Linked DNA regions of Nothobranchius furzeri. The protein of the gene in region 1 binds, or shares a complex with, the protein of each later gene. Links are inferred from orthologs where the notes say so. Each region holds a gene or a part of one and is shown in the gene's direction. Other genes may lie near its edges.

Region 1 (2,473 bases):
GTAAGACGCCCAAATTTTTATTTGAGACTCGCCGAACGGCATTGAATTCACAGATAAAAAGATGTGGGTTCAACTTTCATTTTGGAACAAATTTTCAAGCAAGGGAAGGGAATGATCTGAGCATGCAGGAGGACTGACCCATCATAAACCTTTGTCGGCTGTGCTGAAGAGAAAGGTACAGAACCAAATTATTTAATTAATTAGCTGCGTGTTCTCCTGTCCTCTGTCCTCCGGGCCACACACACACACACACACACACACACACACACACACACACACACGCACACAAGGGACTGTCTCAGCTGTTATTTTCATTTAGGAGTGTGCACGTACAGCATGCACGCCTCGTGCACGAGCCTACTATTGAAGCTGCCATTACGCTTTTGGCCTGAGGGGGCAACCGCGAGCATAAAATTTCAAAACTCCGTAAAGTCCCTTTAAAAAAACTTTTTTTTTTTTTTTCAGGTGTTTGCTGAGCGAGGACGAGCTGAAGCAGCTGGAGGAGGCTTGTGACATGGCACTGGAGCTGAATCAGTCTAAGCACAGGATTTACGAGTACGTCGAGTCAAGAATGTCTTTTATAGCCCCGAACCTGTCCATCATTGTCGGAGCATCGACCGCTGCGAAGATTATGGGTGAGAGGCGGTTCACGCTTGCACCTGTTGTAGGTGTTTCAGATCTTTATTTCCTTTTTGGTATTCTTGCTGCAGGTATCGCTGGTGGTCTCACCAACCTTTCAAAGATGCCAGCTTGTAACCTGATGCTGCTGGGAGCTCAGAGGAGAACCCTGTCCGGCTTCAGCAGCACGTCCCTGCTCCCTCACACCGGTTTTATCTACCACTGTGATGTCGTGCAGTCGCTGCCGCCTGTCAGTAAATGCTATTTTAGTTTAAAACGTCTCAGAAGTGAAACCTTTTGGCTCACGGAGATCATTTTTCCCCTTCAGGACCTGAGAAGGAAGGCTGCTCGGCTAGTGGCTGCAAAATGCACCCTGGCATCTCGAGTGGACAGCTTTCACGAGAGTTCAGATGGAAAGGTGCCTGTTTCTCACACGCTTGAATATAAAATTATTTATCATTAAACTGACTCAAGTATCTCATCTGTTTTGCCAACAAAAGTGAAATCTGTCTTTGGTTATGCAACAAATTGAGAATAAACATGTCCCTTCTTCAGGTTGGCTATGATCTAAAAGAAGAGATAGAGAGAAAGTTTGATAAGTGGCAGGAGCCTCCACCTGTGAAGCAGGTCAAACCGCTGCCGGCACCGCTGGATGGGCAGAGGAAGAAGAGAGGAGGAAGAAGGTATGGATTCAGTGAACCCGCTCAGACATTCGTGCTGTTTTTAAAAGCTTGCATAACTCACGCGGACAGGTTTAAGACCATAAGTGTGTGTGCAGCGTTCCCAGACACTCCTCTTGTCTTTCACTGTAGGTATCGAAAGATGAAAGAGCGCCTGGGGCTGACAGAAATCAGGAAACATGCCAACAGAATGACCTTTGCAGAGGTTTGGATATTTTCTCAGCTAGAATGTATAATATTGGATGTGACGTCATTTTCATGCAGGATTAGGATCAAAATTTAAAGGCTAATTATTCCTTGGAGGTAAATTTAAGTCTTTTAAATCATTTTGACTGTGGGTGTGAGGTTTTTCTCCAAACCTGAACAGATGATGGTAAAATAAAACCTTTGCCTTTAAAAAGCAAGTCACCCCCAAATCAACTTATTTTTCCTGATATATAAATGCGTGTCTAATCGTGCTGCAGACCCGTGTCGTCAATAGTTTTGCACTTTAGTGCATTTGAGTTAAAATTTAAATTTTCTGCCTAACGCCAGGGACACACCGGCCGCCGAAGCGCCGCGAAAAGGGGACCGCCTTCATTCGGCGCCCTTGTTATCCTATTCTATAGACCACATGGGCCGCCGAAGCGCGCCCTGCAGCGATCGTTTCGGCGTCTGCTCTATTTTTTTCGCGAGCCGCAAGTGGACCGCGTCAATTCTGGCAGGAAGTCAAACCTAGACATTAGAGGCAGGCCGGTAAATTTAACAAAATAAAGCATTTCAAAATACAATTCCACGATAGTCAAATGTGTTCGTAAACAGACACTGCATAAAAACCACACACACACACACACACACACACACACACACACCCCTAAGCGGCCCTCAGTTCATATTGCATGGAGCTCAGTGGGACGGGGGCAGGCTTAGCAAAAATAAAATAAGACATATTTCATACATTATATCACAGTACATGATAAGACAAACATTGAAAAATCTTAGGTGTGTGTGTGTGTGTGTGTGTGTGTGTGTGCGTGTGTGCGTGTGTGTGTGAGACCACGTGAAGGGGTGTGGTTTTGGGGGTCTTTCAACCGGAGCAAACAGGACAGAGAGGCAGAAAGTCGTAGGCCAGCTATTAACAACTGGTTCACACCATAGGTTCACACACACACAAACAGCAAGGGGGAGGGGGGTGT
Region 2 (3,983 bases), on another chromosome or scaffold:
CACGTAAAGTGCCCAACCACAAACTACTCACTGAAAGGTGTTTACAGATCAGCCATGGCTGCTGACGCCAGTCAATGAGCCAAATGCAATGGAAATCAAATGAAGATTCATTTGATGATGTCTTTTATTATCCCATTATGCCTTCTCTTTCCCCATTAAAAAGCTCTTTCAATGTGGGACAGACCTGCATTAGGCCACTTTTATGTGTCCCGTAGCAATCCCCGAGACACATCTCCTGGAACAAACATACACGGGTATGTATATTATGTGTACTTTATGTTTATTCTAGTTCTTTGCATATCATTTGTGCAGTACACTGTGGCCATACTCAGTGTTGTAAAAATAGATAAAATTAGTTCATTTTAATGTTTTGTTTTTATGTCTAATGCTGTTTTGATTTGCATGAGATACAGATCATAAAAATACTGTTGTGGGTGATTCAATGATGGATCAATGTTCCATGGGAATTTAAAAAGTACCTAACACTGAGCTGCTTTATGAAAAGCCATGTAAAGCTGTAAATGTCAACTTGGAGCCAAGATGACAAGTAATGCAAAACTGTTCTATTTTTCTGAAAGAAAATGCAAATCAATCCTGCTACTGGATCAACATTTGCTTTTTAAAACAATACAGTTCAGTGTCTGGTGTAGCTGCATAAATTGCCCATCGTCATTAGACGATGCAGAAAATGTAGTCAACAGCTGATTTCCTTCAAAATCATGGAAATCAAGTTTATTCATTAAACTTTAGTCAGATGTACGTAAACACATATTCAGTCCTCTTAGAAATGCAATGTTCTACTTGTGGAGAATGAAAATCAATTTTCATTTCCATCATAACTCAACATTTATAGAAGAAAGAATGAAACAATCTTTTATATAGCGCCCCCAAGATAAAAATCGCGAGGTGCTTCTCAAGCATAAAAAATTAAAAACAAATACAAGTAAAAAACAGATTATAAATTAAGGAAACGTGATTAAAATGTAAATAGTTTCTTATAATTTTAGTTTTTATTTTATTTAATTTTATGTGTTTCAGTCTTTATAAAAAAAATAATTCTACATAAGAAGCTGAGTTTGTCAGTTTCACTAAATAATAGTCCCATAGACTGTACATACTCAATAGTCCTCAACCATGGGCGTTATTGAACTACGTGTCCCACAATGCATCGCGGTAGGTGCCACCGGAAACACTCGTTGTGACCCTTCGTTGCAGGCGGAAAAAAAGGCTCAAAAGGATCCCGAAAGCGTCAAACGCACGTTGCAGTTCAAGAAGAAATAACAATAAAGCAAATAACTCTTACGAACAAGTCAAGGTAAGTTACAGGAGTAACATTAATTAGTTTGAGGAAACGGAGTTCTCATTCTTCTATTGGTTTTCGTTATTTAGAAATTTCGATTTATTTCGTTCATGTGTAGCATGGCTAAGGTTACGCGCATTTTCAAAACTCCGTATGTTACTGTAAAATATTTAGGTATTTAACTATGCTTATTAATCGTAGTAAACTGTAAATAGCATTTACGGCCAATCATATTTACTGTTTGGAATTGTTTAATGGTAGTTTCTAGATAAATTTGTCCTGTAGCCTTGCTAGCTAGTATGGCTAACTGAGCTAGCGGTTAGAATGCTATCAAACATTCTCCACCAGACTCTTAAAAAAAGAGAATACCCAAGCGAAATCGTTTATTCTCTAGTAATGTTATAAAGTGTATTACTGCGTAAATTCATGCTAAATAATAAAAACACCTTCATTTTAGTTAAGTCTAAATACTATGTCCCACATGAAAGTTTCAATTAATGTAGCGTTCGGGTTCACAACACTTCTTTTGTTATGGCTTTTTGCACAAAACCTGTTTTCCCAGGGCGTCTTTCCTTATTTGTCTTAATTTCAGTGACTAGTATTAATCCACAGTCATGAAAAAGTTCACTCGCCTTATTCTGTTGCTTCTCCTACTAGTTGTAATGCAGATTGTAGATTTCAGTGCTGGAAACTGGGCAACCCGGCTAACCAATAAAGTTAAATGGATTTGGGTTGCCAATATTTAAGAGCAGACATTTCTGTGGGTGAGCACGTATAATCTTTTGCTTTGTGTGTTGTGTTCCAGGAAAAGCTTTGAAACATGTCCATCGGTGTACCAATCAAGGTCCTGCATGAGGCAGAGGGTCACATTGTGACCTGTGAGACCAACACTGGAGAGGTGTACAGGGGCAAGCTGATAGAAGCAGAGGACAATATGAACTGCCAGGTTGGTTTGTTTAGCAGTATGGTTTAAAAGGGTTCCAGTGATTTTTAATTGTCAAGAAAAGTGTCAATGAAAAGCCTTCAAAATACTGTTGATCATAAACATCCAGTCAGTGCTTGTTTCAATCCCATCTGCTGCCTGAATAAATTTTGTTTTTATTTCTCTTGCAAATTGCCTTTCTTGCAGCTTTTTAATGGGTTAAATTAAAAAAAATATTTAATTTTTATTTTGTGCACTCACAATAACTTGGGTCAGTAAATTTGGCATTTAAGGTGTTCTGTTAATGTGGATTTTTTGTGGGGTATGTAGTCATAAAAGCTTTTGTTTGTGTAATTACTGGTAAACTAATTTGTGTTTGGGATTAGTGTTCCCCTAAATTGCAAAACGTTTGGCCAAACAATGGTGTACATGGATGCTTGGTGTGAAGAGTTTTATTTTTTTGTAAAAGTGTTTCATTAAAGCATTCTTATCAGAAAGGCTTTTATGTTGGGTTTTCATTTTAAGTTGGTCTTTAGCTTTCATGATTTACCCAGTTCAGTCAGTTATTTAACTCTGTTGTTGCATCATAATTTAATAAACAGTCTAAAGTAACATCACTCTTCAATTGGATTCTATTTCAGCACACATTTTTATAAGGGTTGAATAAACTGAAATGTTAATTTACATTTGAGCCATGCTAGTTTGGTAACCTGTGTGCACCAAGATCCAGATAAGTAACAGAACTGGATTAATGGATGCTCACACGGTCATTTCACCTGTTGTGGACCTAAACTTGAATTTGTCCCTACAGATGTCCAACATCACCGTGACCTACCGCGATGGCCGGGTTGCACAGTTGGAACAGGTCTACATTCGCGGCAGCAAGATCCGCTTTTTGATCCTACCGGACATGTTAAAGAATGCTCCGATGTTAAAGAGTATGAAGAACAAGAACCAAGGCTCTGGGGCAGGAAGAGGAAAGGCAGCTATTCTTAAAGCACAAGGTGAGTGAGAAGCATTTGGACAATTTCTCCAGATGCTGAGACAGCGCTAGAGTTTAGTTCCCTCTTTAGCTGCTTGGCTCTTAAATAGTTGTTAATTACTTTTTTTTACAGGTAACAACAGTGTTCTATGTGGACACTTCTCACATTTTCTGAGGTGGAATGGTTTGAAAGACAGATCCCAATTCTTTTTTATCTAATATAAAGGGAAAAAAAGGCTTTTTCAAAGGAATGTTTAATGGTATTGTCTAATTTCTTCTCTTGTAGAAGTCCAACATAGTCAAAATATTTGAGTAGGGAAAATAGGGATTTGTGGGGGGGCATTTCTTCCAGACCAAAGAGATACCTTTTTTTGGAGTTTGACTTTTTATTTTTACTTTTAACAGTGGCTGCAAGAGGACGAGGTCGTGGTGGAATGGGGAGAGGCAACATTTTCCAGAAGAGACGATAACTTATTTTGTTTTAAATTTCATTGTTTGATGTCATCTTTTGGATTTACTATGCTTTGGTTTACTTTGCAGTCTTTTGCTCTACAATTTATCACTGTTTTTATTTTGTATGAAATAAACAGATTTCAGCTCAGTGTTGCTCTTCTTGACTGAACCTTTGCTGTGCTTTGCCCCATTGAAGCCCTTTTTTTGTAGTATTATTCAATTTTGAGTCCCACCTCTTTCATTTATATTGTGTATTGTAACCTTTTAGCAAGTAAAATTTGTACATTTACCCACGGAAAAGCATTTTACTGCATATTTATCCTAGT
Region 3 (4,191 bases), on another chromosome or scaffold:
GAAGAAAAGAACAGGGGTCATTCAAACCAAAACAAAGAATTAAAAAGGCTTAACATCCATATAAATTAATGTGCTCTGACCTTGTGCACAAGAAAGGATGTAACAGTGCCAGAATCCTCCTGATAGTCAAGCCAGAAGAGTTCAGTCCCAAGGGTTTCAGTCTCTGAGCTTGACCCAGTTTCATTTCCTTCTTCAGCATCAGCACCGGTACCTGGCTCAGATCCACCTGGAAAAGAACATACATGCACTATCATGCCTTCGGGGCAGGAATTCCCAGTCTTGGTTCTTGTGATCTGATCCCTGATCCCATCAGTTGATCAAACTCAGCTAGAGCTCGGTACCCATTTACATCAGGCATCTTGAAGTGTGAAGCATTGGAAAACACTTGGGGCGGTGGATATTAGGGATCAGCATTTGAAAACATAGTTCAACAGAATGATCCTGGGGAGAATTACACAAATCTTACGTCTTTGTCGAGGATTGTAGACTTGGATGTCAGGTCGACGAGGTCTTTTTGGGGTTGCAGTGTGTCTTTGCTTCTTTAGCTTTTTGGCTTGCTTCACTTCCTTGTCATAATCATCTCTGAAAAAAGACAAGTGACAGTTTGATCATACAAATTTCAGTTACACGACTTTAGGTTTAGTTGTTTCCATACTTCCAGTCATTTGATCATAAACTTAAAAGTGTAATGCTGTATGTATTTTGCAATTCAAAACAAAGTAAATAGTTATTTAAAACAATAAGTTTCATGCATATTCTGCTAAAACCTGCAATAATTTGGCTAGGCCTGCAAACTTATAAATTGTTTTTAGCGGCTAAACGCGTTTATGTCATCAGCTACGACCTTTTCAGCATCCCCAAATCAACGTAACGTTTGATTAAAAGAATATCGCCTTTGAGGTTTTAGGCTGATATTAACCTAGTGTCTCATTTTCAACTAGCATTAACAGAGAGAAATTGAGGAAATTACCTACCTAGCAATCTGGTTCCTGCGGATATGGTGCAAGAAGCCATGGCTCATATCCAAACGCCCACCTGGTTTGTATTTTAGCTCATGCCCTCCATCATCTCTTAAAATATCCATGTCATTAAATGGTTGTAAAGCAATAAATTACCAATTGGTTAAATCATTATAAGAGGTCCTAATCAGACCTCAGACAAAAGCTAAATAGCACCTAGCTAGCTGTAAATAGTTGTCCAATAAATCACTTCCGGAGTTAACGCTGCAGGAACGATCACATTTAACATCTTAAATTAAAAAGTACAATAACAATTCAAGTATTTGTGTACAAATAAAACAAACACATGTTGTAAATTAACAGTTTCCTGCGCTAAAAAAAAACAAAGTTAAATTTCTGGTAGAATATTTTTCTTAACACCGGAATAGGTTTTGTTTTTTTTGTTCAGCGTACAACCACCGCGAGTTTCGACGTGGTCAGTCACCATTCATCTAAAAAATCTTCTAAATAAGTTAGTTTATTCCTATGTTGTTTTGATACCAGGCTCGCAGGATAACAGATATGATTTCCCTAAAACGAGAGAGGGAAATTGAGCTGGACGACGATGATAACGAAGACGGAGGTAAGTATGTTTATCTCTAACGTCAGTGTAACGTTAGCCGGATGCTAAGAAGCTAACTAAAAGAATTTGATTTTATGCACAACTTTGTACAGTCACTTCCTGAATGGTCATTAGACATCCTCAGTAACTAATGCATAGAATAACACTTTGCTTAATTAAAAAACATTCTGTAACAGCACAGCTATCGTGTTAGCATGTTTAGCCTATTAGCTTGTACATTGTTATGTAGCATTTTAGTTTGTCTTGTTAGTTACAATTATCATATTTTTGCAGTTGTAATCAAAAGGGGCCGAGGACATGCAGTAGAAGACAGAAGAAGTCGCCACTGCCCTTACCTTGACACCATAAACAGGCAAGAAAGAGAAACATATCAGCAACTGATATTAGCATTGCTTGCTAATTAGCACATTTGACAACCATTAACCTGTCTATGCTAATTTCCCAGGAGTGTGCTTGATTTTGATTTTGAAAAGCTCTGCTCCATCTCGCTCTCCCACATTAATGTTTATGCTTGCCTCATCTGTGGGAAATATTTTCAAGGTAGGTAAAGCTATCCAACCTTCAATCCTACATGATTAAACATGCTCGTGCACTTTGATAGCCTGGCAAGCCACACTAAATAAAACTTTGCAAAGCAAGAATTTGGTCTAGTTCACTAGGCTAGTACTTTGACACACTGGTGTTGTTTTTTTCTTGCAGGCAGAGGTCAGAAGTCTCATGCATACACTCACAGTGTCCAGTTTAGCCATCATGTGTTCCTCAACCTGCACACACTCAAGTTTTACTGTCTGCCAGATAACTATGAGATCATTGACTCGTCATTAGAAGACATCACGGTGAGTCATAGTATTGTTTTGTTGATCTTATTATGCCACAAGTGTCTATGGTTACAAAGCCTAAACATTTCCTGTTTAACAGAGACTGCAAACTGGAGAAAAGTTTTAAAAGTTTTAAGCATGTAGATGTAGATTCTCAGTCATCCAGGACATTTCAGTGCTAAGACTCTTGGGATGTTCCAAAAAGGGTACTTCACGATTCGATTCAATTTCGATTATTGGAGCTTCGATGCTTCGATTCTTCGATTATAATGATTTTTGGTTCGATTCGATTACTGGAGCCACGATTCTTCGATTATTGACATTTTTAATGTTTTTTCATACAAGATTGTCTTCTATTTTATCTACATTTGTAAATAAATAACCTATCAATTAATTCAGTTCCTCTACAACTGCTCTCTGTAAGTAAATACATTTTTTTAACATTTAACTATTTTTCAAAGACAAATTCTTATTTTATGACTGTATGACGTGTAAATATTTGCACTTTGACAAACTTAACTTTGGTCAGGGAAAGCTTTACTTACACTAGTGTCTCCTCCATTGTTGGGAAACACTGAAAACAGGCAAGCCCTGGATTTAATGAGGTAATTAATTCAAGTAAACAAGATTTTTACTTCCACTGAATTTATTTAATGGAAACTTAATGAGTCTGGCATATGATAACATTACAAAAAAAGCTGCCATACAGATCAAAAGTGCATTCCTCAAAATAAAATAATTCAGCTTATTCAGTCTGGAATATAGGTAACAGAAAAAAACCTGCTATATTTGAAGGTAATATGTTGCATTTTTTCTGAACAAAAGTGCATAATTCAACTGAACCTGTATTCAGCTTGGAGCTTCAGTACTGTGAGGCGAACACAACAAAATAGAGCAGAGTGACACTCATACTCATCTTAATCTTAGCTGTCTTCCCATACTCCCTCCCCTCCTTCTTGTCCCCTACATCCTCCAGTTGTGTGAGATGGGTAAATGTCAACATTGTGCTACTTTGACCCTCACTCATCTCTCGAGTTTGAAGAACGTGGCTCACCAACTTCCACCCGTTCTTGTCCGGCGCGAGAACAAAATGCGCCGTTACAGTAACGAAGGATTTGGTGGCAACCGATGTCCATGCATCGCATGTGAGCGCTATCCCGGTTGCCTTCTTCATGGACTCCAGCTTTGGTTTCCTCGTAGAGGTGGGGGACTTCCTTTTCTGCGAAGTGTTTTCGGTGAGGAAGTTTCTAGCGCGGCTCCATGGTGCGCACCACTAACTGAAACCCCCTGTTGTTTACTACTGAATATGGGCGTAGATCCGTCGCGATAAAAGTAGCTATTGCTTTTGTAATGCTCCTCGCCTTCTCTGAGCTCTTCGGTAGTTTGGAGACAGTCTCCAGGATGGAGAAAGAGGTCAAAGAGGTAGTGCCACTCACTAAACAGTCCGGGCGGCGCGTGCGTTAAGGCTCCGGTTACGTGTTTTTATTTTTTTTTAGTACCGGCGTTGCAATAAAACTTTGATGTTATGTTTTTTTAAGCATTGACGTTCATTAATCGATGTCGAAACAACATGTTTAGCTGTTAGATGCATCGCCACATCGATTAATTGCACCCCCCCTATAAGATTCTAATGGAAAGTAACTACCTGGAGATGTCTGAAGATGTTTCAAATTTTCATCTGACTCAGATGAGTGTTGGAGATCATTTTAACTAATGTGCTCAAAATTCAGTTGGAGACTAACCTTTTAACTCAAATCAAATTCAAATTTTATTTGTCACATAAATTCATACA
Region 4 (3,559 bases), on another chromosome or scaffold:
AGATCTGGTTTTGTGGGAGAAAAGTGGTTTGCCTGCAGGCTGAGCTAAAGGGAGGTGTGGCTGCTGTGATGTCACAAGAAAGCCTCTTTTTTATGTTTGTATGAATAAAATATTTGTTCTGAAAATATGCACTACTTTAGGACTTGGGTTTAATCATGCCACCAAATAAAAGGAAGTTTTGCTTCAGAGTCAGTTAGAAAATACCAAAATGCAAGTTACTGAAAGGAAAATAACGAATTTCACATTTTTGAGAGGAACTGAGATATTTCTGATGCAGTTTTTAAAGCTTGTAGCATCTTTGATTATTGTTGTTTCTTCCTATTCTGCCCATCACCGTTACTGAACATTAGATAATCAATTAGTATGGAGATCCAACCGGATGTGGGATCAGGTGAGCAGCTGCTGGAAACAACTGGAAAATTATCTGAGGTGGCAGCCAGAAGAGATGTTATATAACTCCGCACAAACAGCTAGAAATCAAAGACGGTTAAAATTAATATTTCCATCTGCATCAAATCCATCTCACCTGCAGTGAGCTGGACCATAACCCTCCATTCTAATGTTTTAGTAGGAATGCACCTTTATACCAGAGCTAGCCACAGTTAGCATGAAGCAGGTTCGTACCTGACAGCCTTTTTTATGGTGAAATCCAACAACCACGATGTGTAGCACCGGCCCCTTCCCTTCAGTTTCGCTGCCGTGAGACTCCATTTTCCCTCAGTCTTCTGTTCTGGAGGTCCGGTGGCGTTTGTGAACTCAGGGGGTTCGGATGTAAACACAGCGAACGGAGCCTAGTTTGAGCCCCGAATCTTTCCCACGCACACACACTCACGCGCGCGCGCACACACACACACACAGCGCTGCAGCTAGATTTCAACAAGATGTTTCCCTGTTCCTCACTTCCGTGTTTGCGTTACCGATTCTGTCAGATCCATCGGGGTCAGAGCACGGATTAGCTGTTAGCATTAGCTTTTAAATGAAAAACTGGTTCAAGTCGCATTTACACAATTTATAACAACCTGTTTCCAATGAATCTACTGACATATTTTCTTGCGAATATCTGATTTTGATCAAATCCTAAAATCAGTCAAGCATAACTTAACCAGAAACAGGAAGTAAACAAATAAACTCTCCATGCTGCAAAATCCATACTTAAGTCTTATACTCAAATATTTTTGCCTCTAAAGTGATTGTTGTTTTGGATGTTTTATTTATTATTTTTTGTGGGGGAATTTAAGTATATTTTTTTATCTATAGCATTCCAAAGTAAATCAGAGTTTGTCTATTCTTGCCTGAATTCGATTTGCTCTTGATTCGATTGGTTGTGACTGCTGCAGTCACACGAAGAAAGTCATGGCGGCTACTCAAGCGACAAACCCGTCACAATTGCTCCCTCTGGGTTCGTAAAATCTAATTTTGTTCCGTTCTTGCTTCAGATAGTTTCGCCTTTAGATACATTTCAATAAGAACCGAACAAGCAGTTCTAATTTAGTGAGTAGCAAACAGAAGTGAGCCGTTTTAGCGGTAAAATCACGCCGGTGTTACGTACAGATCTTTTCACCGAAGTAAACCGTGTCCCCGCTTCCTGACAAGATTTCTAGTCACAGGATTGTGTTCCTCCTGCTAAAATATATTATCTGTGGTGTACGGATTTAATTGTCAGTATGTGTAATTTGTGAAGTAAGCAGTTGCATGTATTTGATAAATTTAGGAACTCGTGGGGGTTATGCTTAGTTCAGCCATCTTTATTGCTTGCATTAATTTACTAATAAAAGTCAAATAAGGAACATTTTACCATTTAAAACATATTATAGCTTAAAGAAAAAGTTTTAAAGAAAACCCCCGGAGATTCTGGTTTAGATGGGGGACACATCTCGATGCAACACCAGCAGGTTTTAGCTAGCTGCAGATAAAGCAATAATTTCGTGTTCAAGCGTGAGTTTTTACCTAATTTATTTTAACAGAGGAGTATTTGTGGCAGTCTAAAAACTAAAAGAAGTGATTGTGTCCTATTTTACAGCAGTTATGACCTGAAAAAGTCAAACCAGCTCGGGTGCCTTAATGAGGATGGCGTGCTGATTGTACACCTGTCCGTGTCTGAACATGAGCAAAAGCTGAGCTGCAGCAGTCATAATAATACTCCTGAACTTATTGTGTTATTTAAATTCAAAGTAGTCACACCCGTGAACAACTTTCGTTGACAACTGACAAGAAAATTCATTTCGTCCATCGACATATATTCAGTTAGATTTAGTCATATTCTTCTGCCACCTACTGGCCAATTAGTGTATGTGCAGTACAAACCTCAACAGTATTTCCCTTAAGAAAAAATGATTTTTAGTAGTTGGTCCTGATTGGTTTTAGATGCTAAACATCACATTAGTTATTTAGAAAATTGTTAAAATCAAACTGAAAACTGTAGAAAATAACCTAACCTGTTATATTTTCAGAGCTTGTGGACAAATGTATCGGCTCTCGAATTCACATCGTCATGAAAACCGACAAAGAAATCGTCGGCACCCTGCTGGGGTTCGATGACTTTGTCAGTATCCTTCCTTAAAAGCTGCTGATCAGCTGTAGTGCGTGATTCAGAGGTGACATGTTCAGATTTGGTCCTCAACTGTGTGTTTCAGACATGGTGCTGGAGGATGTGACAGAATTGTAAGTGTACGTTGTTTTATTAACCGGTGTCTGCCTCATTCATCCTGCTCATCTCCTGGTGTTTCTTCCAGCGAGATCACACCAGAAGGACGGAGAATAACCAAACTGGATCAGATCCTCCTCAATGGAAACAACATCACCATGGTAGGACACAAACGGCTTCGGTCTCTCTCAAACATCACTCAGCTGGATGATTCATGTCGGGTTCATTTCTCCTGCAGCTCATTCCTGGAGGAGAAGGACCAGAAGTGTAAATCCTGTTTTGTGTCTTTTGTTTATTCTCTCCAGGTTTTTGGAGCATATTTTTGTAACATTCTTTGTTCAGTTTTTAGTAAAAGAAGCAGGTCTCACGTGGGAATTAAGATGTCTTTGTTGCAAATAAATCTGTTTGAAAAACATCCTTGTTTCATTTATTTATCATAAAAAGTAAATTTAGTGCAAACATTGGGACAAAATGAAGTGTTACCATCAGAAACCAGTGATAAAATCCAGCATCCAGTCTTTGTTGGACTGTAAAGCTAAATGAGAAGTTTCACTTTTGACTCATGAACAAAAAACGTGGAACCGATCTAGAGCTGAAACAACTAATCGACTTAATCGATTATAATCGATTATTAAAATAGTTAACAACTTTTTTAGTCATCGATTAGTTGTTTAATAATCATATTTTACCGCATAAAGTCTATTTTTTACCACAATCAGACATCGGTTACAAGCTGTTAAATTTGCCGCCAGTGTGTGGCAGTAATGAGCCACTGATCTACCAGTGGAGCCGTAGAAGAAGAAATGAGCCAATGGGTGCCCTCGGTTTTCATGACGTATCACGTTACTGACGCTCATCTTGCTGTGAGAGATGGCGGAACAAGAGGAAATACGGAAGAAAAATAGAAGCGACAAA
Region 5 (2,569 bases), on another chromosome or scaffold:
CTGATGAAGAGTGGATCAAGGTGGAAGTGCAACTCAAAGATCTCATTCTGGCCGATTATGGCAAAAAGAACAAGTAAGAGCTATTTTGAGTGTCTTGTGTGTTTAGAGCCAGCCTTGCGTTTTGTAGTAAAAGCTTCTTTTATCCGTGTCTAGCGTGAACGTGGCCTCTCTGACCCAGTCGGAGATCCGTGACATCATCCTGGGTATGGAGATCTCTGCGCCGTCGCAGCAGCGTCAGCAAATCGCAGAGATAGAAAAACAGACCAAAGAGCAGTCACAGCTCACCGCCACGCAGACCCGCACCGTCAACAAGCACGGAGACGAGATCATCACCTCCACCACCTCCAACTACGAGACTCAGACCTTCTCCTCCAAGACTGAGTGGAGAGTCAGGTACGTTAACTCTGTTTTTACTTCAACTTTAAATGATGGAGTGTTTTAATTCTGCTCCTCTTGACCTAACAAAGGGCCATATCTGCTGCCAACCTCCATCTCCGAACCAACCACATCTATGTGTCATCTGATGACATCAAGGAGACCGGTTACACCTACATTCTGCCCAAAAACGTTCTCAAGAAGTTCATCTGCATCTCAGATCTTCGGGCACAAGTATGCATCCATTAAGTTGCATTTTTTACCGTGCTGCTCATGTCTTGCCGCGGTTGTTGCCAACGATGTGCTGTTTCCAGATTGCAGGTTACCTGTATGGCACCAGCCCCCCGGATAACCCCCAGGTGAAGGAGATCCGTTGTATCGTCATGGTACCTCAGTGGGGGACTCATCAGACCGTTCACCTGCCCAACCAGCTACCTGGTCATGAATATCTCAAAGTAAGACTCAGATAAACAATTTTCAACAGATTTCTAACGCTTTTATAAATTTTTTTTTTTTGTTGGAGTTTTGAAAATGTTTTTCTGTTCAGGAAATGGAGCCCCTTGGCTGGATCCACACGCAGCCTAACGAGTCCCCACAGCTGTCTCCTCAGGACGTCACCACCCACGCTAAGATCATGGCTGATAACCCCTCATGGGATGGAGAAAAGACCATCATAATCACTTGCAGGTAGGTTTGATTTTAAGGTGTCTGTTCTCATTTAAAGCAGGATTACTGTGTAATCTGGAGCCTTTTTGAACCTAAACACTTACTAGACTCTTCCTGGAACATAATTATTGCTGAAACTTTAGTTTAAAGCATTTTTTCTGGTGTTTTCAGCTTCACGCCTGGCTCATGCACACTCACGGCCTACAAGCTGACCCCCAGTGGATATGAGTGGGGTCGCCAGAACACCGACAAGGGCAACAACCCTAAAGGTTACCTACCATCTCATTATGAGAGGGTGCAGATGCTGCTCTCTGACCGCTTCTTGGGCTTCTTCATGGTTCCTGGACAAGTCTCATGGAACTACAACTTCATGGGTCAGTAGCGTCAGCCTTTTGTATTGGAAAATGAAGAGTTGGCTTGTTTAGTAATCAGGTGATTTAAAATGATGATTTTGCCACCAGGTGTGCGCCACGATCCCAACATGAAGTACGACCTGCAGTTGGCCAACCCCAAAGAGTTCTACCATGAAGTCCATCGGCCCTCACACTTCCTAAACTTTGCCTCGCTGCAGGAGGGTGAAATTTACAACGCCGACCGAGAAGACATGTACGCCTAAGAGCCAGCTTCCTTCTGTAGATAGCTCTGAGAGTCACTGAGAACCACTTCAGAGATGTTCTGTAATATTTCTTTGATGTTTGAGGGTTTTATGTGAAGGCTTTTGGAGCTTTTAAGACTTTTTTTGTTCCTTTTCCCGTCTTTACAGTAAGACTCCTAGTACAAAGTGAGTTTTATTGTGGATCCTTGTAATTCCTTTCATATTTACATTGGCGTGTAGTTTTCAGTAAGCAATACTTTGATGTAATGTTTGACATTATTTCAGAAAGTTAAAGATCTACTTCCTTATTTAGCAGTGAGAAATGAAATTGAAAGTTGCTTTTTCATACCTATATTATTCAGTCATGTGTTGAGCTGTACATCCTGTGATGTTGTATCCTGGACTTAAATAAAAATCACCATTTTTATATCCAGTCTTCTGATTTGTTGTGTGCTTTTATTCCTGAAATGTAAATGTGGTTAAAGCAAAAGAGAAGGGCAGCGTTTTGTTGCATTGTAGGTGTGAGTAGGGGATATTACTTCCTCTTTCAGAGAGTGCAAAAGTCGGTCACCATAATTCAGTCAGGGATAATTCAGTCAGGGTTTAGAGATTGTTACAGCGTTGAAGGTTTTAGCTGCAGATCTTTCAAGTTGTTGCACGTTTGTGCTCTGGTTGGCCAGAAGAGGAGGAGGATCCTTTAGCTGCTGATGTGAACGGTAAGTCAGAGCAGGTTGATTAGTGTTGGTGCGTGGAAATGTGCATTTACTCAAGCTAGTTCAAAAGTTATTTTTTAGTTTCATCCGTTTCATCGTAATTGTGCGACATGGAGACGGACACGGAGAGTTGCAGCTCCCACGGCTGCTTTGGCCGGACGTTTTCCGCCCTGACCGTCGATGATGTTTACGAGATAGCCAAACTGGTCGGTGCCGAGGT
Region 6 (4,059 bases), on another chromosome or scaffold:
GTTTATATATATATATATATATATATATATATGTGTGTGTGTGTGTGTCTATAATATTTTTTACAAACCCGAAGTTGGTTACTCGTTAGAATAATTAAAAGAATTATTTGTTTTCATACACTTTATTCATAGACTTCTTCACAACTACAAAAAAGTTTTCCATTGGTTCAATAGTTTTTGTGATGTTAACAAATGTTTGTTATAATAAGAAAATATTTCACCAGGCACATGTTTATGTTTATGTTTATGTATTTAGCAGACGCTTTTGTCCAAAGCGACTTACAAGTGATGTGTTTATAAGAATGAAAAGATGTCTTTTTTAAGTGCACATCATAGACTGTACATACTGTGCACATTTTCCCATTTCCCCAAGATTCACTGATTTCCCTCTTTCCTGTTCACTCTCTCTCTCTCTCTCTCTCTCTCTCTCTCTCTCTCTCTCTCTCTCTCTCTCTCTCTCTCTCTCTCTCTCTCTCTCTCTCTCTGTCTCCCCCTCTCCCTCCCTCTCTCTCTCTCTCTCTCTCTCTCTGTCTCCCCCTCTCCCTCTCCCTCTCTCTCTCTCTGTCTCCCTCTCTCTCTCTCTCTCTCTCTCTCTTTCTTTCTCTCTCTCTCTTTGCCTTTTTAATCACAATTGTCTATTTTTGCTTATTTTGAACATATTTTAAATCATTTTTTGAAACCTTTTTTATATTTTATATTTTTGTGAAGTGCCTTGAGATTTTTGTCTTGAGAGGAGCTACAGAAAAGATTGTTTTCTTTCTTTCTTTCTTTCTTTCTTTCTTTCTTTCTTTCTTTCTTTCTTTCTTTCTTTCTTTCTTTCTTTTAAACGTTTGAACACTTACAGATCAAGAAGAAAGAAAATGTACCTGAAATTGGAATAGGCTTATTTGTGCATATCCCACATTACATTGAGATAAATTTTGAATTTGTAAAAAGAATAGTAAAATAATACAATGAGACATTCACATGAAATATTATGTTTTTACATATTTACAGTAGTTTCTCATTTTCTGTATGAATTTGTTACATAATAGAAATATTACTAATGCTTCAGTTTATTCAAAGTATAACAATGCACAACAAAACAAAAAAACTTTAGTATATTATAATATGAAAGCCAGTGGATATAATATTAATTACAACATATTAGAAATACATTTATAGAAAATAACTTGTTAAAGGAAATGGGTATATCGTATTTTTAAAATGTACTTTTAAATATTCTTGTTTTGTCTATCGAATTAAAACTTTGCGCTTTCAGGACATTTGTCCCTACATAGTTTCCGTAGTCCTCCAATGTGATTGGTCAATGCGCCGAACATAAAATCGTTGTGAGATCGTTCATCCAGTGAGTAACTTGCTAGCTCGGTGTTCGCATCTGTAAAACTAGTAAAACATCTATTTCCTATCTTATTAGGATCTGTTATGATGTAACAATACCTGTACATTGTACTTTATTGTTAAACAATCTCCTACGCTATTAGAGGCTAACGAACTGACCCACGGAATAGCTGGTAGTTAGCACTTAGCTCGCTAGCTACATAGAAGCTCATTTGATAATTTGAACGTTTTAACCGTACATAGTTTTGCATTTAGGCGTGTACTATCTGGCTACAGCTATTCGTTTTAATATTCTCGGGTTTGAATAATGCCTTTGTTACTAGATAATCAATTATAGCTTAAATGTGTATTAGGGTAATGCTAATGCGGTTCTTTATTGTGATAAAATGAGATTTACTCATCTGTTTTATTCTTTTAGATAAAAGCGAAAATGAGTTTGAGAAAGCAGACCCCGAGTGACTTTCTGAAGCAGATAATTGGGAGACCTGTCGTGGTCAAACTGAACTCTGGTGTTGATTACAGAGGTAATGCAGCTGGCATCAGGTGTGGGAATGTTTAGGGTTCTCAGAGTTTGATTAGGTTATGAATCAGAGGGTTTGTTAAGCAGTCATTGATGCATCTTTTTACGCCTTCTGCCTCATGTTTAGTTCTAGACAATGACCCCCTGACAACTACTTTTAATTTTTAATGATCTTTTAATTCATTACAGTTAAGTTCTTTATACAGGCAGACAGGAAGTTGAATGATGTAATCCCATATAGGATTAGAAACTATGAAACAAACACTAACTGAAAAACAGTTAAATTACTGCAGTTAAACTCCAGTTAAATGCTGAGTAATTGGAATAAACTTGAAAAGTTTCGTGAGGACCAAATTTTGCTTTAATCTTCAACAAACTATTTGTGTTTGTGTTGATATTAATTCATTTACCAAGCTAAAGAGAGATTCACACAGGTTACACAGATACATGGAGGAGGAACACTTTTTGACACAACACTCCTACTCAGACATCTTTGTTACAGTTTAAAATGTTCAGTTTTTCAGTATTTGATGTATTTATTTCTTCAGTCAAGACTCAAACTCCATCCCAGTTGCACACCATAATGTGCCACACTTCTGCACTTCAGATGTCTGCCTTTTACACTCACCTAAATAATGATCATTATTAAAATCTGTTTTGATAATTTTTGAATGAATTTGTAATGGTTTATGTTTGCATCAAAATGCATAAAAAACAGTATGCCCCTCTTCCCTAGCTGGCACGTTCAGGTCTGTTGTTGTTTTATTGCCCAGGTAAGTTTATTTTTAATCTGAAGTTTGTGTTTGTCTCTGAGCAGGTGTTTTGGCCTGTCTGGATGGTTACATGAACATCGCAATAGAGCAGACGGAGGAGTATGTCAATGGACAACTCAAAAACAAGTATGGAGATGCCTTTTTGAGAGGAAATAATGGTAAGATTTGATGTTTTCACGCTGCAGGGCGTTATACAACACCGTTTTCCTCTGTTACTATAGCTCCAAGTCATATTTAATGATTAAACATTCCAGGTTATGAAGGCTGTACATTTGCCATGATCTGAGTCTTTGGTGCAGTCAACTTCCTAGCCTCATTCTTATTAGCTCACAGAGACAACATTATTACACTGTGTGCTCTAATAGATCTTTCAGTTGTTTAGGTTTTTTTTTTCAATCCAAAGTGATTAGAGATTTAAATTTGTTGACAATTTTTAAATGAAACTTTCAAAGTCATGCACCACAAGATGTTTATTTTCATTTTCTCATTAAGCATTTTTGCACCTCAAACCTATCTTTATAGGAAAACCACAAGATATTCCCTTTTAAAGTTGGGAAACTAACCATGTCGGAGTTATACAGGAAGCTCACTTCCGATGAAAACATCGAGCCCCTTTGTTGCTGCTTTGAAAAAACTGGTAAAATGCTACTATTTTACAGCATCGTTTGTTAATTAATTCATTATGTTACATTAGAAATGTACTGATTTAGCTTCTGATGGCAGAAACTGATTTGTGTTGCCTCAAAGTGATACTAATTTTGGGTGATTTTTAAATATAATATGCTGTTTGAATTTAAATATTAAATAGAATATTTTGGAAGTGTAAACTTCTACATTAATAGGGTTAATAAGTAGGGTTAGGGAATATTTTGATACCTGTGTGATTTTTGTGGTGCCTCTCTAGACTGAGCAGATACAGCTGCGACTGACTACTAGGGATGCACCGATGGATCGGCATTTGATCCCAACTGGCCGATAGCGCCCCTATCGGTTTTGATCGGAGTTTTCAAAATGGATCAAAGCAGACCGATCAGGTAGGGTTGTCACGGTAACCGGTGTAGCAGTAAACCCCGGTAAAATAAAAAAAAGTTGACAATAATAATAACCGTCCGTTTTTAAAAAAACTATATTATCTCGGTGGTTTACCGTGGCTGCGGTGTAGGCGCGGTGACCCTTACCAGCCACCGTATCATCTGTTGAAGTTGCCAGCGGCACATGCGCACTTTGTTGTTTACAACCAAAACTTTCTTGAAGCTAAAGCTGAAATAATGGCCAAAGGAGGAAACGGCAGCGCGCAGGACATTTATTATACCTCAAAGAAAACAAAGTGGGAAGTACGGGCATTTTTTGAATATTTGAAGAATGCCGAGGGACAGTTTATAGAAGACGGCTATCCTGTTTGCAGCACGTGCAGAAAAAGTGTCT
Region 7 (3,898 bases), on another chromosome or scaffold:
TCATGTCAATGACTGGAGCAAGCTCCATGCTGAGAGCCTTTATTGGTTATTGATTTTTTTCCCAATAACAATACTGAAACTCAAAAAATTAGAATATGGTGCAAAAGTTCACTTATTTCAATAATCCATCTTAGACTGAGAGACCATCTAAAGGCTCGGGAACCCTTTGCAGATGTTTTTGATTAATTAGCTGGTTAGAGTGCGACACTTTGAGTCTAGAGTATTGAACCTTCTCGCACGTTCTGTTTGTCTGAGATATTTAGTTTTAGATGTTTTCGTAAGCTGTAAGCCATAATCATCACACTTATAACAAATAAATGATGGAAATATCTGGTTTTGCATAGAATGAGTTTATCTCATGAATTTGTTTCACCTTTTAGGTTTTTATACTGAAATCAATAAACTTTTGAACCATGTTCAAATTTTTTGAGTTTCATCTGTATACATTTTATTTTAAAAAGGGTTTCATTGTGGGGCAGTTGGAAGCACTGGTGACTCACAGGAACAATGTCATAGGTTTAAACCTTGGCTACGGCCTTTCATTCTCTCCATGCATGTGTGGGTTTGCTCTGGGTACATGCTCCTCCAGCAGACCAAAAACATACAAGCTGATCGGCAACCCCAACTGTCTTTAGTTGTGAACTCAGTATTAGCATAGTTTTTAACACTGTTACATACTGTTTTGATTGTGAATTTAGCTAAATAATAAACGAAAAAGGCTGTTAGAGCGAGTTTCCCACTCGCTGATAACAAAAGTGTTATAGCGTTTTATTTAGAAAGAATTTACAGGCAGTTTTCTCTTCTCCATCTCCATCAACCAAAAGAAACAAAAATACAGATTATGATCCCCCCCCCCCCCCCCCCCCAGTTTCATTGCCATGAGACTAGAACGTTCCCTTCTAGCTTCTTAGAACCTGATTGTAGTTGCAGTTTATCCCCACTGGAGGGCGTAGATTTCTTCTGAGATTGTAGCCTGTAGCTATTAGCTAACGCACAATGCAGCTGAGAAAGATGAACGTTTTTCCCAGCCTGACAGCGTATTAAGACAATCACATGAGTGTGTATTTAACTCATTACGTTTTAGTAGAGATGGTAGTCCCGAGACTTTTACAAAAATCAATATTGTTTCATTTTACTTTTTATGGTCTACAGCTGGACCTCTCTGAACCCTCTGAACGCGTTATCTCATTGGATCACTATCATTTCCTAGGGTCTAAGATTTACTTCCGGGTCAGACAGTAAATATGGCGGTGAGTTCGTAATCCATGGCTTTCATTATATTGTGTTACTTTTTATCTTTTCACATCCACATTTGTATTGTTAAGATTTAGCTTTGTTTTCTGAACAAAAGTCGACTTGAACAACTTTTATTTTGCTGTGACGGTAGACGTTTTACTTAAATAACGTGGCTAGTAGTGAGCTAAGCTAAGGCTACGTTTTGTTTGTGATTAATTAGTGACTTAAGACAATGTAACCTGGCCTTTCTGCAGGATAAAGAAAAGAAAAAGAAGGAGAGCATCTTCGACTTGTCCAAGTATATCGACAAGACGATTCGGGTGAAGTTTCAAGGTGGACGAGAGGGTGGGTGGACCAAGCTGTTGCTAACCCTTTCATTTCGTGCAAGCAGTAAATGTCTAGATTTCCTTATGTGGAAGCCTAAAATTTGTGTTTTCTTCTCAGCAAGCGGCGTTTTGAAAGGATTTGATCCTCTGTTGAACCTGGTGCTGGACGGCACGATCGAATACATGCGTGGTAAGAAAACCAAAACTCAAATCCAGCCAGAAAACTGCTCCTCAGTCTGAGTCCATGTTTATATCGATGAAGGACTTTTCCTGAACACATTCCGAAGTTCCCCAACACACATAACTATAAAGTAATAATTCGCATTAATTTCGCCCCTACCGTCATCTTTAAAACGATCTACAGTTAGTGAAAATAAGCATGTTGATCAAAACATTATGTTCATGTTCAGAGCATGTTTAAGAGACATTTTTCTACTTCACTTTTTTGAGTTAATTTGTTTTTCAGTAAATTATCAGGAATACGTGTGTGTGTGCGTGCGTGCGTGCTAATCTTGTTTGACAATAAAAGCAACATAATTTTAGATTATCTTCAGTGGACGAACATTACATATAATTACATGTAGACAAAAACATGTTGCTGCTATGTTTAAAAGAAGAAAATTCACAGGCTCTAAATAATTCATTCTAAAACATCAAATAATCCGAGAGATTTTCTGGGCTTCAAATTGAAAAAAGGTTTCCAAATTTTCAAATCACGCCCTTGTATGTAAGATTAATTTTTCAGTTTCATAAAATTAAGAAAGTCTGTGTGTAAAAGCATCTGTGGAATTGTTTTCTTTTTGTACAAACAAACAGAAAACATTGTGTAGACACCTCTCTACTGGAACAGTGTGTTGTTTCCAGGTAAAGGTAAGTAGCTGGTTGTGTTTTTTGTGCTCTTACCCTGTAAGGTTACTCCACCTATCTCCTCTACCATCACTGTGGATTTGTTGAAAATGTGATGCTAGTTTGAACAAACACTGGAAAAATGCTCAAGTTTCTAATTCTCAGTTTAGTGTTTGGAGGGGAGGGTTGAGCTAATATTCAGAGGAGTCATGGAGGCCACTCGGGTGGAACAAAAACCAGAAACATGTGGGGGGAAATTAAATTGATTTAAAAATCCCCAAACAAAAGATGAGTGGCTTTTTTCAGTTTGAGGTTTGTTCTTTAGTGGTCGAAGCAGATTTTTAACAGTGATAACAAATCAAATGTTGTTGGTTTTTTATCGCTGTTACAAGTGGTCGTCTTGTGTGGACTTAACATCTTTGAAAAATACATCTGAACTGAAGATGGTCAAAACAAAAAAATCAAAGGTCTCACCATTCATGTTTTAGTTTTGAGTGCATTCCGGTAAAATGCTTGGTGGACACCCAGCTGCTTGACATTTCCAGTGTGAACGTTCTGTGGCTTTGTGTGCAGATCCAGACGACCAGCTGAAGCTGACAGAAGACACCCGACAGCTGGGGCTGGTGGTCTGCAGAGGAACCTCTGTGGTGCTGATCTGTCCTCAGGATGGCATGGAGGCCATTCCTAACCCATTCATCCAGCAGCAAGATGGATAACCCCCATGCTGCTGCGTGGCACACTTTTGATTAGACTTTTCTTTTTTAACATTACAGGACACTTGTCATTCAGACGACAAACATGTTTTAAGTTCATCACTGGTAAAATAAGGCTCCGTTGCACTTCAGTTTTATTTCCCTGCTAATTTTGCTCATTTTTGTGTTGTGAGGAGCTCCCAGTTCTGAAAGTGTTAAAACAAATTTCTTGTTATCTGAGTGAACTTTTTACTATTCTTTGTTTTTGATAAGAAAATAAAGTGGAAAAAAAGCTGAATCTGAATGTTTTTCTCCTTTGAACACAGAGGACGTGTTGGAAAGTTACACCAGATATGGTCTATTCGAAAGGGTGACAAGGATCTGAGTGGTTTTGTTGACCCGACAGACGTCCCCTACCTGCTGGTTGTGACTGACTCGATGGGTCTACAGACTACTGAACTCTGCAGTAAAAAAAAAGATGAGTGTGTTTAGGTTTAAAGGGAGTTTCTGTGTTTGAAGATAAACCGTTCAAGCTTGTCTGCACACTCACAAAGACACATATGTGGCATTAACAGCTTTTAAGTCAGTAATGCATTAAGCTGGGGTGGGGGTGTAAAGTAATGATATCTATGGATTGTTCCTTTTGAAAGAAAGGATCTTCAGTAGATTTTGGCGTTGGAGAAACGCAGAAACAAAATGCTGATGAGTTTTAAGTGAGATAACTGAAGCTGTTTTTTAAAATGGCAAAATTTTTACTTAACTGGATGTGAAACCTCCTAAAAGTAGGTTAGAATAGTG

What was found.
Region 2: prpf31 (region 1) and snrpd3l share a complex: the UniProt entries of both Homo sapiens proteins name them as parts of the U4/U6-U5 tri-snRNP complex. The link is inferred for Nothobranchius furzeri from reciprocal best matches to the Homo sapiens genes PRPF31 and SNRPD3.
Region 3: prpf31 (region 1) and usp39 share a complex: the UniProt entries of both Homo sapiens proteins name them as parts of the U4/U6-U5 tri-snRNP complex. The link is inferred for Nothobranchius furzeri from reciprocal best matches to the Homo sapiens genes PRPF31 and USP39.
Region 4: prpf31 (region 1) and lsm5 share a complex: the UniProt entries of both Homo sapiens proteins name them as parts of the U4/U6-U5 tri-snRNP complex. The link is inferred for Nothobranchius furzeri from reciprocal best matches to the Homo sapiens genes PRPF31 and LSM5.
Region 5: prpf31 (region 1) and prpf8 share a complex: the UniProt entries of both Homo sapiens proteins name them as parts of the U4/U6-U5 tri-snRNP complex. The link is inferred for Nothobranchius furzeri from reciprocal best matches to the Homo sapiens genes PRPF31 and PRPF8.
Region 6: prpf31 (region 1) and lsm6 share a complex: the UniProt entries of both Homo sapiens proteins name them as parts of the U4/U6-U5 tri-snRNP complex. The link is inferred for Nothobranchius furzeri from reciprocal best matches to the Homo sapiens genes PRPF31 and LSM6.
Region 7: prpf31 (region 1) and lsm7 share a complex: the UniProt entries of both Homo sapiens proteins name them as parts of the U4/U6-U5 tri-snRNP complex. The link is inferred for Nothobranchius furzeri from reciprocal best matches to the Homo sapiens genes PRPF31 and LSM7.

The regions. Positions count from the first base shown.
Region 1 is NC_091745.1:76,605,409-76,607,881, reverse strand, and holds part of prpf31 (U4/U6 small nuclear ribonucleoprotein Prp31), read left to right. Parts: intron 1-465; coding exon 466-635; intron 636-710; coding exon 711-868; intron 869-946; coding exon 947-1,036; intron 1,037-1,173; coding exon 1,174-1,301; intron 1,302-1,430; coding exon 1,431-1,503; intron 1,504-2,473. UniProt on the Homo sapiens protein: Involved in pre-mRNA splicing as component of the spliceosome. Required for the assembly of the U4/U5/U6 tri-snRNP complex, one of the building blocks of the spliceosome.
Region 2 is NC_091746.1:48,714,996-48,718,978, forward strand, and holds snrpd3l (small nuclear ribonucleoprotein D3 polypeptide, like), read left to right. Parts: upstream 1-1,183; 5' UTR 1,184-1,315; intron 1,316-2,105; 5' UTR 2,106-2,120; coding exon 2,121-2,246; intron 2,247-3,033; coding exon 3,034-3,226; intron 3,227-3,609; coding exon 3,610-3,674; 3' UTR 3,675-3,805; downstream 3,806-3,983. UniProt on the Homo sapiens protein: Plays a role in pre-mRNA splicing as a core component of the spliceosomal U1, U2, U4 and U5 small nuclear ribonucleoproteins (snRNPs), the building blocks of the spliceosome.
Region 3 is NC_091757.1:46,437,229-46,441,419, reverse strand, and holds the start of usp39 (ubiquitin carboxyl-terminal hydrolase 39), read left to right. Parts: upstream 1-1,391; 5' UTR 1,392-1,520; coding exon 1,521-1,581; intron 1,582-1,854; coding exon 1,855-1,933; intron 1,934-2,026; coding exon 2,027-2,121; intron 2,122-2,280; coding exon 2,281-2,417; intron 2,418-4,191. Other genes in the region: c17h2orf68 (UPF0561 protein C2orf68 homolog), read right to left, coding at 81-226, 467-582, 975-1,084.
Region 4 is NC_091747.1:62,679,641-62,683,199, forward strand, and holds lsm5 (U6 snRNA-associated Sm-like protein LSm5), read left to right. Parts: upstream 1-1,275; 5' UTR 1,276-1,353; coding exon 1,354-1,399; intron 1,400-2,450; coding exon 2,451-2,546; intron 2,547-2,633; coding exon 2,634-2,661; intron 2,662-2,732; coding exon 2,733-2,805; intron 2,806-2,882; coding exon 2,883-2,915; 3' UTR 2,916-3,059; downstream 3,060-3,559. Other genes in the region: late secretory pathway protein AVL9 homolog, read right to left, coding at 625-711. UniProt on the Homo sapiens protein: Plays a role in pre-mRNA splicing as component of the U4/U6-U5 tri-snRNP complex that is involved in spliceosome assembly, and as component of the precatalytic spliceosome (spliceosome B complex).
Region 5 is NC_091753.1:37,695,469-37,698,037, reverse strand, and holds the end of prpf8 (pre-mRNA-processing-splicing factor 8), read left to right. Parts: coding exon 1-73; intron 74-153; coding exon 154-393; intron 394-467; coding exon 468-609; intron 610-689; coding exon 690-830; intron 831-922; coding exon 923-1,062; intron 1,063-1,212; coding exon 1,213-1,415; intron 1,416-1,502; coding exon 1,503-1,657; 3' UTR 1,658-2,069; downstream 2,070-2,569. Other genes in the region: rilp (RILP-like protein 1), read left to right, coding at 2,460-2,569. UniProt on the Homo sapiens protein: Plays a role in pre-mRNA splicing as core component of precatalytic, catalytic and postcatalytic spliceosomal complexes, both of the predominant U2-type spliceosome and the minor U12-type spliceosome.
Region 6 is NC_091744.1:10,586,904-10,590,962, reverse strand, and holds the start of lsm6 (U6 snRNA-associated Sm-like protein LSm6), read left to right. Parts: upstream 1-1,259; 5' UTR 1,260-1,348; exon of another isoform or gene 1,349-1,389; intron 1,390-1,409; exon of another isoform or gene 1,410-1,514; intron 1,515-1,759; 5' UTR 1,760-1,771; coding exon 1,772-1,865; intron 1,866-2,678; coding exon 2,679-2,792; intron 2,793-3,156; exon of another isoform or gene 3,157-3,271; intron 3,272-4,059. UniProt on the Homo sapiens protein: Plays a role in pre-mRNA splicing as component of the U4/U6-U5 tri-snRNP complex that is involved in spliceosome assembly, and as component of the precatalytic spliceosome (spliceosome B complex).
Region 7 is NC_091748.1:58,320,411-58,324,308, reverse strand, and holds lsm7 (U6 snRNA-associated Sm-like protein LSm7), read left to right. Parts: upstream 1-1,140; 5' UTR 1,141-1,244; coding exon 1,245-1,250; intron 1,251-1,490; coding exon 1,491-1,581; intron 1,582-1,680; coding exon 1,681-1,752; intron 1,753-2,981; coding exon 2,982-3,124; 3' UTR 3,125-3,398; downstream 3,399-3,898. UniProt on the Homo sapiens protein: Plays a role in pre-mRNA splicing as component of the U4/U6-U5 tri-snRNP complex that is involved in spliceosome assembly, and as component of the precatalytic spliceosome (spliceosome B complex).